Mytilus edulis: one gene and its partner. The protein of the gene in region 1 binds, or shares a complex with, the protein of each later gene. Links are inferred from orthologs where the notes say so. Each region holds a gene or a part of one and is shown on either strand. Other genes may lie near its edges.

The links.
Region 2: U4/U6 small nuclear ribonucleoprotein Prp4-like (region 1) and small nuclear ribonucleoprotein G-like share a complex: the UniProt entries of both Homo sapiens proteins name them as parts of the U4/U6-U5 tri-snRNP complex. The link is inferred for Mytilus edulis from reciprocal best matches to the Homo sapiens genes PRPF4 and SNRPG.

Annotation. Positions count from the first base shown.
Region 1 is NC_092345.1:12,076,353-12,083,930, forward strand, and holds the start of U4/U6 small nuclear ribonucleoprotein Prp4-like, read right to left. Parts: upstream 3,474-7,578; 5' UTR 3,351-3,473; intron 1-3,350. UniProt on the Homo sapiens protein: Plays a role in pre-mRNA splicing as component of the U4/U6-U5 tri-snRNP complex that is involved in spliceosome assembly, and as component of the precatalytic spliceosome (spliceosome B complex).
Region 2 is NC_092347.1:25,799,145-25,806,773, forward strand, and holds the start of small nuclear ribonucleoprotein G-like, read right to left. Parts: upstream 3,389-7,629; 5' UTR 3,271-3,388; coding exon 3,239-3,270; intron 686-3,238; coding exon 663-685; intron 1-662. UniProt on the Homo sapiens protein: Plays a role in pre-mRNA splicing as a core component of the spliceosomal U1, U2, U4 and U5 small nuclear ribonucleoproteins (snRNPs), the building blocks of the spliceosome.

The DNA.
Region 1 (7,578 bases):
GCTATCAGACGCTTACCTGTACAGTTGTTACTAGGGTGCTCTCTTCGAGGTCCGCGTTAGAAGTATAAATAGTGGTTAGCTTATCCAGTGTAAATTGTCATTCTTATCGGAGACGTCGGAAGAAGAAGATTAAAAAGGTAGGACCGTTAATATTTAAAGACGAGTAGCAGGAGTATTCAAACAAAGTGGAGTGTTTGAAACCTGTTGAGAAGATATAAATAGTTTCGGTTCCGTAGAAGTTGTATAAACAGGGTTAGTGCTAAGGTTTTGCGTTCCACATCTCTCACTATTGCAGTGAGTGTTTGCTGTTAAACCATACCTTAGTGCTACCCTGTTCCAACAGTTTTATAAATATATTTCAATAAAGTTTCATACGTACAAAGTTTACAACAGTTTGAATAGTTTCCATACATTCGTTTTATTCAGGTTTCAGCCCGTTTGATACATTTCGGTTCAGCCGGTTTGATACATTAAGGTTTAGTCCCGTTTTTAAACATTTAGGTTCCAGACAGGTTCCAAATATTTAGGTTCCAGACAGGTTCCAAACATTTAGGTTTCAGACAATAGTTCCAAACCGTCTGAACCGTTTCAAACATTTAGGTTCCAGACAGGTTCCAAACATTTAGGTTTCAGACAATAGTTCCAAACCGTCTGACCAGTTTCAATCATTTAGGTTCCAGACAGGTTCCAAACATTTAGGTTCCAGACCAGTTTTATACATTTAGGTTTCAAACCAGTTCTATACATTTAGGTTCCAGACTATAGTTTCAAACAGTTGGTTTTAAACAGTATCGGACAGAAAGGGTTTTAAACAGTTTTGATTCAACAAGTTCGGATTAGGTTGATAGGTGTTGAAATTCGTTTTATGTATTATAGTATTTGTTTCATATTTGATAGAGATAGTGTAAACATTTAATTGACTTTAGAACTTTTGAAATGCTTTTCAAATCCAGGAAACTGGTACGAACCCGAGGATAAAAATATCTAAACGTCCCCGCCCGGTTACACGTTACAAATGGTGGCTCAGCGGTGGGATTTGTCGAGCATTTCTGTTTAGTATTTTGTGATTGTCTATGACTGTCCGTCCGTCGGATGGGGACCTTAAATCCGAGGTCCCGTGTTCAGGAAGTACCACATCCTGTGCACGTTAAAGAACCCTTTACAACAACTCTAATTGAGGGGTCCGTAAGTGGCCTGTTGTGAGGCAAAATTGTTTTAAACTGGTTTTTGGCAACACAACTTTTCAAGTGGTACTCAAAATATTATATTTGAAACGGTTATATCTGGTCAAAATTTAATTTAAGTTCAGTATTCAGTTGCTTGTACAAATATGAATTAAAGTAGGATATTTTGAAAATAGAAAGTTAACAAACAAAACAGAAAGAACATGCAAGTCGAAAGAGGCTGACAGGAACCCCGGAACTGTGAGTAGGCTAAGGTACCCCTAGGTCTGACGTTTGTCAACAGATTGTTGTAGGAAAGCCATTAGTTGGTTATCATGGTATAACCCTCGGTGTACAAACAGTTGCTGGGAGAGATATTCTGCGGAATGAGTGGATACATTGAGGTTTAAAGTAGAACCTTGGTATGGTGTCAGCTAGTTTTAACGAGAACAGTTTTGATTGTGTTTTGATTAAGTCAGTATAAAATTGTAAAACTCATGCGAGGACGCATGAAATCGGAGGCGTGGGTAGTGTTACGAATTTGCAGTTTAAGAAGGTTATAATAGTTCTACAGTTATATATTTTCCGATATTTCTATTAGTTTCCCATATCATCCGTTCATCGTTGAAAACTGTATCTAAAATCATCCCTTTATCCTTGGTTGCTATCAGACGCTTACCTGTACAGTTGTTACTAGGGTGCTCTCTTCGAGGTCCGCGTTAGAAGTATAAATAGTGGTTAGCTTATCCAGTGTAAATTGTCATTCTTATCGGAGACGTCGGAAGAAGAAGATTAAAAAGGTAGGACCGTTAATATTTAAAGACGAGTAGCAGGAGTATTCAAACAAAGTGGAGTGTTTGAAACCTGTTGAGAAGATATAAATAGTTTCGGTTCCGTAGAAGTTGTATAAACAGGGTTAGTGCTAAGGTTTTGCGTTCCACATCTCTCACTATTGCAGTGAGTGTTTGCTGTTAAACCATACCTTAGTGCTACCCTGTTCCAACAGTTTTATAAATATATTTCAATAAAGTTTCATACGTACAAAGTTTACAACAGTTTGAATAGTTTCCATACATTCGTTTTATTCAGGTTTCAGCCCGTTTGATACATTTCGGTTCAGCCGGTTTGATACATTAAGGTTTAGTCCCGTTTTTAAACATTTAGGTTCCAGACAGGTTCCAAATATTTAGGTTCCAGACAGGTTCCAAACATTTAGGTTTCAGACAATAGTTCCAAACCGTCTGAACCGTTTCAAACATTTAGGTTCCAGACAGGTTCCAAACATTTAGGTTTCAGACAATAGTTCCAAACCGTCTGACCAGTTTCAATCATTTAGGTTCCAGACAGGTTCCAAACATTTAGGTTCCAGACCAGTTTTATACATTTAGGTTTCAAACCAGTTCTATACATTTAGGTTCCAGACTATAGTTTCAAACAGTTGGTTTTAAACAGTATCGGACAGAAAGGGTTTTAAACAGTTTTGATTCAACAAGTTCGGATTAGGTTGATAGGTGTTGAAATTCGTTTTATGTATTATAGTATTTGTTTCATATTTGATAGAGATAGTGTAAACATTTAATTGACTTTAGAACTTTTGAAATGCTTTTCAAATCCAGGAAACTGGTACGAACCCGAGGATAAAAATATCTAAACGTCCCCGCCCGGTTACACGTTACAGTTACCTTTATAAATTGGGCGCGAACGTGTATGGTGCGAACAGACTTCGGGGGCGAACAAGTGAGGTGCGAACGTGTAGGGTGAGAAAGTATATTGGGCGCGAACGGACCTGATACTATAATAAATAATAAATAAATAAGCTTTATTTAGAGTCGGCATGGTATATAAAACATAGACAAACATAAGCTCTAATGAGCTTTTAACCGACATAATATATACCCCATGGAACCATATATCCAATGGCAAATCATCGGCAAATGGGATGTCAGGTAAAATTACCTAACCCACAAGTTCTTAGGGAAAAAACTAAATGTCATTTAATGAAAGAGGGTCATTTCCAAACTGTCTTGACTTTAACATTGAAATCTAAAAATCATCTCTTTACTATAGACTTTTATTTAATCATTAATGAGCGAGATACATGACAAAAGATCGCTAGGACACCCATTAGAGTAACAAGCAATACCATTGTTTAAATTATTTGATGTTTGGTGATTTTTTTTAACTTACGGTTTGAATTTATAACAGAAAATTACTGGAAAAATACGCTAAAACTGCGCTTTTTTTCGATACATGGGCGCAGACATATTGGATTTGGAACTTCCGGTTTCTCGATCAAGCCAAGATTCAAACGAAAGTTGACAAAAGATGAATAATAACGAACTGTTTTTGTTAAACATTTCCGAATGTCAATGTGAGATGTGAACGCCACCTATTCTGTATAAATGTTAATAAATATCTTACTTAAAAAATTGAACGCACCCAATATTGATTTGTTCCGCATACCTTACCTGTTACCTGTTACCTAGTCTTTATCTTCCTCCTCTAGCAGGAGCTTCGCTTCTATAGCGTACTTCTTATTTGCACCCTTATTAATTGCGCCCTAACCCTTGCACACGGGGCACTCAAAAAATCAGTTATACATGTACAAAGTTATTATAACATTAACATATATACAGCATGCGGACTAATACATCACCATGTAAACGAAGTTAACTATATATTTTACACAAAATAATGGAAGTTCCAATGGAAACTTAATTTGTTATACACATTGTCATTATAGCTTTAGTACAGATATTCCTAAATTTGCATTGTTAAGCGCTTTCTAAATAGTTAAAGCCCGCCACATTCCGACTGTATGTTCTGGTCTAAAGTTGTTGTGTAAACAATTTTTATTTGCGCTCAGGATAGGAATGAAGTTTTAAGGTAACCGTTACGCTTTTCATTCTTTGGACGTTATGAAACTTGGACACACGCCTCAGTTTTAAAGATCAATAAATGGCAAAGAAAAACAGATGTTTGCCCAAATGATACCCCCCCCCCCCCCCCCATGGATGCAATCGAAGACGATACCCAGGATTCTCTAAAATTTTCAAATATATTTAATTATTCTATGTGTTTTTACTCTTATCAATTCGATCTTGTAATAACTGTAGTTTATATGTGCTGTCCCTCTATTCTTAATTTCCGTAAGCGGTACATTTTTTTAAGATCGTATGAGTAAGAAAAAGAACACATTGAATAAGTGAATAATTTATATCTAAGACATAGTTATAGTACGACTTTTGACATAAAATAAAAGAACCTCATATAGTAACTACTATTGATGAGAAATATGACAGAAACTAAGGGTAAAACTCTTATGAGCCAAATATCTGAAAATAAGTTTTTGACTCATTTATATGATATGATATCGACCTCAACTGTTGTAAGCTATTCTGTTTTTTTTTTTCCAGTAAATTATCATTCAGAATCTATATAGCAGAAACAGCCAGGACATACCATACTACTATCAATCAAATTTCGAGAGATTTGGGACAACAGACGGACGAGAAAATAAAATAAGTGCAACAGAAACCGTCGTATACGAATACAGCCGGAATAAAAAATAGTACACACACCAAAACAAGTAACAAAATTTGTCCCAAAAAGTTAGGCATATTTTGCTCCGCATGTAACTCCCAATGGCATCCAGACCAAAAATGAGAAAGAACCTTGCTATTCAGGACAATAAATGCATGTCATTGTATGGTTTAAACGACATAAAACCAAAAGGTAAGTTATCTTATTACCCAGAGTCTAGAAACAGGAACACTGAATTTGTGGTGATTGGGTTACGATTATTACTATTGATCGCCACGATATATTCCGTATTTGCTTAGACGGCGTAAACCAAACACCAATCAATCAATAGATAATAATGAAAAAGCATCTGCGGTCGTCTTATGGCCGTCTTAAGGGTTTGATTATTCGACAGAATAAAACGTTTTTACAGTTATAATCAGGATAGAAATGTAGCATTATTTTGTAAATTCGGGTTCCTCTGTACAAACTTTATCCTGTCACCGAATAATTCAATGCTAGGAATCGGTTTAATACGATGACTTATCCTAGACAGTTATCAAAGGTATCAGGCTGATAATTTAATACGCCAGACACGCGTTTCGTGTACAAAGACTCGTCAGTGACGCTCAGATCAAAATAGTTATAATGCCAAACAAGTAGAAAGTTGAAGAGCATTGAGGACCTAAAATTCCAAATAGTTATACCAAATACGGCTAAATTAATCGATGCCTGTGATAAGAAAATCCTAAAGTATTTCGAAAAAAAATAATACTTTTTAAAACAGTAAATTTATTAAAGAAAACAAAGACCACCTACACTGATGCCCAGTTGCAACTTAGCTTTGCGACAAAAGAGATAACAATATTTTTCGCATTTTGCATTTATAAAGTAACATTTAAACAGCACCGCAATAAACAGAATCAACAGGCCATTCTGTTTTACAGCCTGTGAAACAACTTGTGATGTCATATTGTTTAGTGCTGATAACATTATTTGCTTGTTTTGTTAGAAACAGAAGACGAATACAAAACTATTTCAAATTATTATTTTTCAAATAGAAAAATTATACTTACACAACTTTCCCAAACACGAGTGCATTTCTAATTTCTAAACTCCCTAAACCACAATCCCAATTTCATATGTGTTATGTTTGATGGAGAGGTAATTGAAGCGAAATTTATATCGAATTTGCAAATCGTTTATCAAATGAGATGCAGTTTCCTTTGAATCAAGCCATAAGTCACTAAACCAATGGAAAACATAAATAAAGAAGGTTCTCCAAATAGAAAGAGTGAATGGTGTAAAAACCAAATAATCAAAATGTCACAGAAATGATCGATACACTCATTGTATATACCAAACAAATTTATACCAGAAGCGCGTATTGTCTACAACAAAATCATCATTGACGCTCGAATCAGAAAGGTTAATAATCCAAATAAAGTACGAAGTGGAAGAGCATTGATGATCTAACATTTCCGAAGGTTCAACCCGCCATTTGTTTCCTAGACAAGTCAGGAATATGACAGGTGTTAACAAATAGTTCGTTAGTTTAAACATATTTATTTATAGTGGATTGGGAAACAAGTTTGAACAACTTATAATAATCCTTTTCTCATTTGATGGTGCGAGTGCTGCCTTGTAGCGGCATTAGTCTGCTCTTTTCGTAATCTACAAGGATGTATTACGCGCATGAGAGTTACACAAACTGTTGTTTGCTATCTATTTTAGTTCGTTTCCATACATCTTGGCGTTTGTTTTTGTTGCACTTCAGTGTTCCTTTGTTCTTCTCTTATATATAGTTGACTGATGTGTTTCCCTGTGTTTGTGTAACCTGGATTTGTTTCCTCTCAATTAATTTATGACTTTTGAACACCGGAATACTACTGTTGCCTTTAAATTGCCAAACACAGAATAAGTAATCTATTTCTGGCGTAGAAAATCGTTAGTATTTCGGATAATTCAAAGTGTATAAACAGTTAATTCATAGTTATGACCATATCAGTGATAATCCGGATCAACACAGAAGTGCTAGACTACAGGGCTGGTGATACCATCAAGAAGATATTTGTCGTTTAGGGATAGAAAAGATGTGCTTTTACAGTTTTGTAAATCAAATGCAGGAAAAGTGGAATTTTGACGGGATGTTACACATCACAAACATAAGTGTTTGCTAATTATCTTAGTTTGTGTTGAATTCAAAAAGTTTTTTATGTCAGTATTTCCTTGATAAAGTTTAAAAAGGTTTCAACAGCTTATGTTTGCATGTTGTCTTGTATATAAAGATTTGTAATTGAGCTTTATGTCGTATATCGCAGGTCTTATGATAAGGTTATTGTTGTGCTTCTCAATCAGTTGTTTCTGTCAAATGGTTTGTTTAACTTTTGTTCTCATTTCGATACTTTTCTTTTTGCAACGGCCTTACCTGAAGATACACGATTTCTGCTCCATTAGTGCTACATGTCAAGTTGCTGACACTCAGTTAAAATTTGAAGATAAAATGCATACGGTTAAGGCAAACAAATCAAAGACAACTGCCGATCACAATATATAGCATTCAAAAAGAGGGACGAAAGATACCAAAGGGACAGTCAAACTCATAAATCTAAAACAAACTGACAACGCCAAGGCTAAAAATCAAAATGACAAACAAACAACAGCACACACGACACAACATAGAAAACTAAAGAATAAACAACACGAACCCCACCAAAAAACTAGGGGTGATCTCAGATGCTCCGGAAGGGTAAGCAGATCCTGCTCCACATGCAGCACCCGTCGTGTTGCTTATGTGATAACAAATCCGGTAAATAGTCTAATTCGGTAGGTCACATTCACGAAAGGGGAGGGGATTGTAGTTACGACGTAAGGAACATATCCGATATCATTT
Region 2 (7,629 bases), on another chromosome or scaffold:
AATATTTGTTCTTTTCGAAAGCACAATTACAAATGTAACTCTTAAAAATATTGTTTAAAGTCTTTATAAAGTTATACATGTATATATTAAACAATATTTGTTGAATAACATCCGCTTTTGTTCACCTGAATGAATCTTTTCCTAAATGTTTAATTAAAACTTAATACATGAAAAATAAATTTGTGTACATACTTTCACACTATATTGTTATTTTAATATTTTTTTTCAATTTAAAATTTTTAAGCCTAGTGAAAAATCGATTGTTGGTCTCCCCATACCTGTACATATGAGTATTGTTAAGGCACGGCCAGCAGTTTTTATTTTATCTAATATAATATGTTTTTTTTTGGTGAAAAATCCGTTTTGCTCTTCTATTTCATCCCTTCATGATCAGTTAACTACTGATGTATGTCAATGTACATTCAGTAGGTTAGGTATATAAATGCACAGTAAAAGTTGGGAGTCAGAAATAAAAATCTGGTCTCTGACGGAATGCATGATACAGAGATTAGCAATACTCATAAAACCAGAGTTTTTGAGAACCCTGGAGATTACAGACATGTTACAATGGCCAATAAACCTTGATTTATAGCTAGAGGTAGTTATAAACAATTGTATGCAAGCATCAAATTTTTAAGTCATAAATCTTGTTGGCTACTTACAGCAAACTCTCTTTTCCATGAACCTGAAATAAAGGAACATCATATAATTATACATTTACAAGTTTAAATTCTGTGTACAAAGGTATTTGCAAACATCATCAAAAATATGACTGATAAACTGTTTTCATTCAAGACTTGTTTCATACCGAGCAGCTTAAAATTGGACCATCTGTATTTTGGATACCAATTCATCAGCAAGTCTCAGAGGGTGACAAACAGACCAAGAATGCTCAAAACCAATTTATTTTGGTGCATAGTTTAATTCACAGTTAACCCTAGCTGTGGAACCGTAGCTCTTAGGTCCTTATGGTTTTTTTAAACTATTTTGGTAGTGCATACCATATTGGCATAGATTATTTCCATTTGTATTCATTTTCCACCTACATGTATAATGTTCAGCCATTGCCCAGATTGAATCTTCTTGTGATGTCACACAAAACAAGAAAAGATAACTCTCATCACTCAGAGCTCAGACATAAACAAGTCATTTTTATCCCCCCCGACTTACAGTGAGTCAAAAATGCATTTTAATATGATTATTTATGTCTGAGCTCTGACTGCTTATAGTTAAACACGTTGGTTTGTTTTTTTGTATTTTATTTTGTTTTAATGACTTTTAGAATGAAAGACATTTAATTGAAATTTAGTACAACATAATAATAATCCTTCCCATATTGTTAGAATTATTGTTGTAACACTTGATTCTCACTTAGAAATAAGTGAATGAAGTCGGCTTCATATCTTGACTTACATCTAGAAATTGACAATGAGGGTCGGTTGAAAACAAAACTTTACGACAAAAGAGATGATTTCAGCTTTCCAATTGTGAACTTTCCATTTCTAAGTAGCAACATTCCAGCAGCACCTGCATACGGGGTATATACCTCCCAATTGATACGATATTCCCAAGCTTGCATTTCCTATCATGATTTTCTTGAGAGGGTTACTGCTCACAAGGAAGCTATTAAACCAAGAGTTCCAAATGGTGAAGTTGAAATCATCCCTTCATAAATTTTACGGACACCATCACAAGTTGGTTGACCGGTATGGAATAACCATTTCACAAATGATATCAGATATGTTCCTTATGTCGTAACTACAATCCCCTTCCCTTTCATGAATGTGACCTACCGAATTAGACTATTTTCTGGATTTGTAATCACATAAGCAACACGACGGGTGCCACATGTGGAGCAGGATCTGCTTACCCTTCCAGAACACCTGAGATCACCCCTAGTTTTTGGTGGGGTTTGTATTGTTTATTCTTTAGTTTTCTATGTTGTCATGTGTACTATTGTTTTTCTGGGTTTTTTTTCCATTTTTAGCCATGGCGTTGTCAGTTTGTTTTAGATTTATGAGTTTGACTGTCCCTTTGGTATCTTTCATCCCTCTTTTAGAAATAAGATAACCAAACCAACATGTGTTTTCCTTTTTGTGTAGGCGGTCCTCTCTTCCAACATAGGAGATCGAGGATATTATTAGAGTTATCTTTTCTTGTTTATCATTACGTCATGTTTTCAAGTTAAGATTTGTCTGGGTTTTTTTACAAGATGTTTCTGCAATGAAGCCAGTGCGGTCTTGTAGTTGTACCACTTTGGCCATGTAGGCATGTAATAGATAAAATTTACATGTAGTCTCTCATACTTATATACATTGGACTATATATGTGCGGATTTGTGTTATTTAGTTTTAGAAAAAAGTTTAAACGAGGCTTCACTTATTTAGATACTACTGATGCATTTCAAACGTGTTCTTTTGTAAATTTAATGTCTTAATTGAAATAGAAAAGGGAAGTCCCTGGAAACAATAATAAAACTAGGTTAAAAATTTAAACTTTTATCAACACCAGAAAACTGCCATAAAAACAAAAAAATATAACCTCCCTTTTCACGACTTTTACCCAATCTGTAAAGTTTAAGGGTCTTATTATAAATAAGGCTGTGTAAGTGACATGAATAAATGCACTAGTATATAACCCTATGAGTATAGTATCCTAAAAGATCCTTAAAGATCGCCGCTGCAAAGACCGACTCACCATGGCATACAAGATCCGCAATAGATTGGTGGATATTGACCCCTCTAATTATTACAAACCCGGAGATTCAAGGACCAGAGGAGGCCACCGCATACACCAACAGCGCACTCTAAAAGACCAATACAGGTACTCCTTCTTCCCAAGATCAACCAGGGAATGGAACACTCTACCGGAAAAAGCCACAACAGCAGCTACACTAGAAGAGTTCAAGGCCAGCCTTACCATCCTGCCAGAGGCCTTGACAGGAGCTTCACACACCTAGATCTCCTTTGACCCCAGATGTACATAGTTTTATTTGTAAATAATTTTCCTGTAAATAGTTTTTATTAAGTGAGGAGGGAAGGCCTCATGATTTCACGAGCAAGAGTCATTTATACACTCAAGAAGAGTCCGACTCTGTACTGAAAGAAGAAGAAGAAGAAGTGAAAGAAGGCAAATAATTTCTTTTGAAAATTATAGAGGCACAAATCACGAAATGTCTTGTAATTTGGGTCTTTAAATGTCCTGGAAACACATACAAATAATTTCAGTCGTGACTTACTTTTTCAATTCTGGAGGATGAGCCTTACTCATTGTGATTAACAAGGATTATTGTCGGCAGAGCCGGCAAACAACAAAAATAGATAATGGCGGAAAAAGCGTTCCGGAAACGACAGTCGAACGATAAAACACAGAGTCGATACCGGCAATACTATATTTAAGAATTTCCGGATTCTCTCTTTTCACATGCTGAAAATTAAGGATTTATAGTCCATTTGAAAATTACTACAAAGTAGTCTGAATCAGGGAGATATAACAACCTTTATGCCTTATTGCGTACCCTTTTCTGTGACTAATATTCTTTTCAATACATTTAGATTTTGTTTTTAAACTTGTCTTTTTGCGGAAAAAAATACATGTTTTATCACAATCCACATTAATTGACTACGTCATGAAATTTGATGCACAATAAATCAGCGCCATTGGACAAGGAAATTTTGAAGAAAAATCCAAAATATACAATTTTTGCGTAGAAAATTACATCAAAGCAAAAAAAGTGAGCAATACAAAAGTTTCCTTTATTGTGTTATGCACCGGATTGCATAGACATTAATTTGAAAATGAGTTGCCATACACAATAACTTCAACTACAATGACTTATGACGTTTTTGGATGCTGTTTTATTTGTTATAGTGGTTTCTTTTATTTTTTGCATCAACAGTTTCCAGTCGTATAAGGGCACAAATCCTTTTTTATGTCGTAGACGTCATTATAAAAATATCCAGCAGATCATAGTTAGCTCTTTTGGTCCGAATCCATGACAAATCGCCCCACTGGCAAATAGCCCCACACCTAATCGCCCCACTTTTTCACAAACTCGCCCCACTTTCTAAAAAAACGCCCCACTCTTGTTTACCAACTCGCCCCACTTATGAAAAGGGTAAACTCCCATTGCAAATAGTTATGATAACATGCTCCCCTTATGAAAAGGGTTAAAATCCCGCTGAAATACGGTCTGTCAACTTTCAGCCCCACTCATGACAAATAGATAAACCACATATAAAAAAGATGCAATCCCGTTGTATATCTTTGTCCCTGCCCACGTCATTACCTTTAAACACCAAAGTGAAGTGCTATAAAATCAAATTGCTGTTAAAAACTCTGTTTTTGCAATAAAGTTATATATAAATGTTAATCACGCATCAATAGTATGATTATGATACAATTAACAGGTTTCTTTTCAATTGTTATACAAATAACTAAGCTTACAAGTATAAAGTTATTCTCCAATAATGATACAAAAATGTAATTGCAATTATATTTTAAAAATGTTAAAAAAGTTTAATAAATTTCGTTTTTTTTTTTTGTATTCTGTGTAGATTACAAAAATCAAAATAAGTCTTCATTTAAGTGCGGCTAGTTGGTAGACCTGAAAATTACATATATAGAAGTAGATTTTTCCCTTTTTTCAATAAGTGGGGCGAGTTGACAGGGGAAAATTAACTGGATTTAACCCTTTTCACAAGTGAGGCGATTTTTTTTTAAAGTGGGGCGAGTTGGTTAACCAGGTTGGGGCGATTTTTTTGATTTTTTTAATGGTGGGGCGAGTTGGTGAAAAAGTGGGGCGTTTTGCCAGGGGGCGATTTGTCCTGCTTCCTTTGATCCTATGCCAAAAGCCAAATAAATATCAGTGGGTAGAATCCATGAAAAAGGGTACAACTTCACGGTATCAGGTTCGTTCGCGCCCAATACACTTTCGCACCCTACACGTTCGCACCTCGCATGTTCGCACCCAAGGTTCGTTCGCACTTTACACGTTCGCGCCCAATTATAATTCAAATTCCAGTAGAATAATTGGAAAATCATGATTGTTGTTATTAATTGCTTTGGTGTAAGTAAAACATTCAAGATTTTAAATGAAAAACACAAAAGATAATTGTTTTTAACAGCTTGGTCCCTTCGATCTTAAACAATAAAATATAGCAATACACTTTTATAACCATAACATGATAAAAAAATTTCAACACACAAAAAAAAATCGTAGTCAGAATCTCACTTTATTTTGAAACAAGTCAATGAAATAAAGTTATGGCAATACACTAACCAAAACATGATTAAGAGTTATTCAACACAAAATAAAACGTTGACAGAATCCCACTTTATTTAGAAAGGATTATTTATTATTTTTAACAATACACTATCCAAAACATGATAGATATATTCAACACAAAAAAAAAATGCTGTCTCACTTTATTTTGAGACAATGACAACAAATATAAGAATACACTTGCCAAAACTTGATTACAAAGCTACACAAAACCAATTAAAATTGGGCGCGAACATGTAGGGTGCGAAAGTGAAAGGGGGTGAACATGAGTGGGCGCGAACGGACCCGGATTCCAACTTCACTACAAGTCGAATCAGCACCGGTACCTCGAATGACTGAATAACACTAATAATGACTGAATAACACTTGAAATTTAATATTAGCAAATATTGGTGACTTTTAAACATTGATTATTAAATAACAGTATACTGTCGATGCATTTTACCAAATATCATGCAAAATGCTCAAATGTTGAAAACTTTGAATACTAATTAAGTTGAACAAAAAAAATACATACAGAAACCCTCCAAAAATGTCAATGAGTCAATACTGTGAATACAACTTTTTGCTTAAAATACTGAACAAAACATATGTTAAACATATCTTTCATGGGTGCCGAAATGACTATATCAGGTGCTGATTTAACCAGGTGCCAAATTGACTAGGTGCTGATTTGACTGTACTGGAGGCTCCCACAGGGTACCCCCCTCAGGTCGCAAGGTCACTTTTAAATTCGTCGTTAGGTCGCGCAGTCGTTTTTAAGACAAAAGTACAGGTCGCAGGTCGATTTTTCCAACATAGAGGACGCAAGTTGTTTTTATATTTAAAGGATCCATTCAAGTCATTGGTGTGTTATTAAACCAGGGACATATATGTTCTTGGTTAAACCTTTTAGTTTTAAATAAGATATTTGAACATTTTGCCACATGCTTTTGGGTTCAGTTGTTCTTGTTTTGTTTGAGACCATCCAGAGATGGCTGTCTGTAAGTGGGAAGTTCCTGCTCTATTGAAGTTGGTGTCGTCAGCTCTAGATTTAATTTTGTGTAACATTTAATGATCAATATGTGATGTCTTCGTGTCATTAAGGGTATTTATAAACCCATATCCGTTCTTTTCCATATTGAGACCAAAACAGGACTTGAACTTTTCGATTTTTCAAAACAGTAGTTTTAACCAAACATTCAGTATTTCACTAATCCTACACAATATTGTCTTCTTCCACATACTGCCTGCATTCAACTTTCAGAATATACTGGCAAATTGGTTCTGCATGGTTAAAAACAAGATAGGTAGGTCATTTCAGATTTGAAAGTCTCAAATGACTGTGCTGTGTCGATCTCCGGGGGAAGCTTGTTCCAGTCTTTTGTGGTGTTCACACAGAGGGACCATTTCCTGCAGTCGTTGGTTCGTTGCACCATGTATCCATGTAGTTTCTGTTGTGTACGTTTTGATATTCTAGTTTGTCTTTGGAGGTACATGTCTTTGCTGATGGCTACTTTGTCGTTGACGATCTTGTACATCATTGCGAGCCTGACCTCTCTGCGTCAATCTTGGAGGCTCAGACTTTTCCAACCCAATTTGTTCATCATGTCTGGGACACTTGATCTGTTTCTGTGGTGCTTGGTGACGTATCTTGCAGCCCTCATTTGAACTTTTTCAATTTGGTCAATATGATTTTGATGATATGGGTCCAATATGGTTGTGGTGTATTCTAGTTGGGGCGTTACTAGAGTTTTGAATGCTTGCTCTTTGATGGTTATAGCCGATTTGTAGGTTTTGTGGAGGAAATCATGGCTTCTGCTGGCTTTGCTAGTAATGTTGTTGATGTGTTATCCCCAGTCTTACCCCAGGGAAAGTTTTTGACCAAATATTAAAGGGGATTTATCTTGAGTTACTGGACAGGATGATAATTTGTTGCTTCATATTTCATTGTATTTCTGAAAGGATTTCATCTGAATATGAAAGATGGAATTTTGGGCTATAGATATTTTATTTTGAATAATGTTGCATACATTATGCCTCCAAAAATAAACAACATATGGGCATCACTATATTTGTTGTTATTTTCATTGTTTTATTATGATGTATACTAAATGGAAAAATTGCTAAATTTATCGTTTCCATTCTCTAACTTTAGTTTGCCTCAAACAAATATTATAATACTTTGCACAATGATAATTACCACAAAACACAGATCAAGTTTGAAATTTGGAGGCGTCACTTTTATCGTTCTCCTGTTCTGCTTCTTTTGCAAATGGAAAAATTGCAGGATTTTTTGTTTTTGTTTTCTAACTTAGGTTTACCTTAATTAATTGTTATAAAATGTAAACACAATGCTTATTATC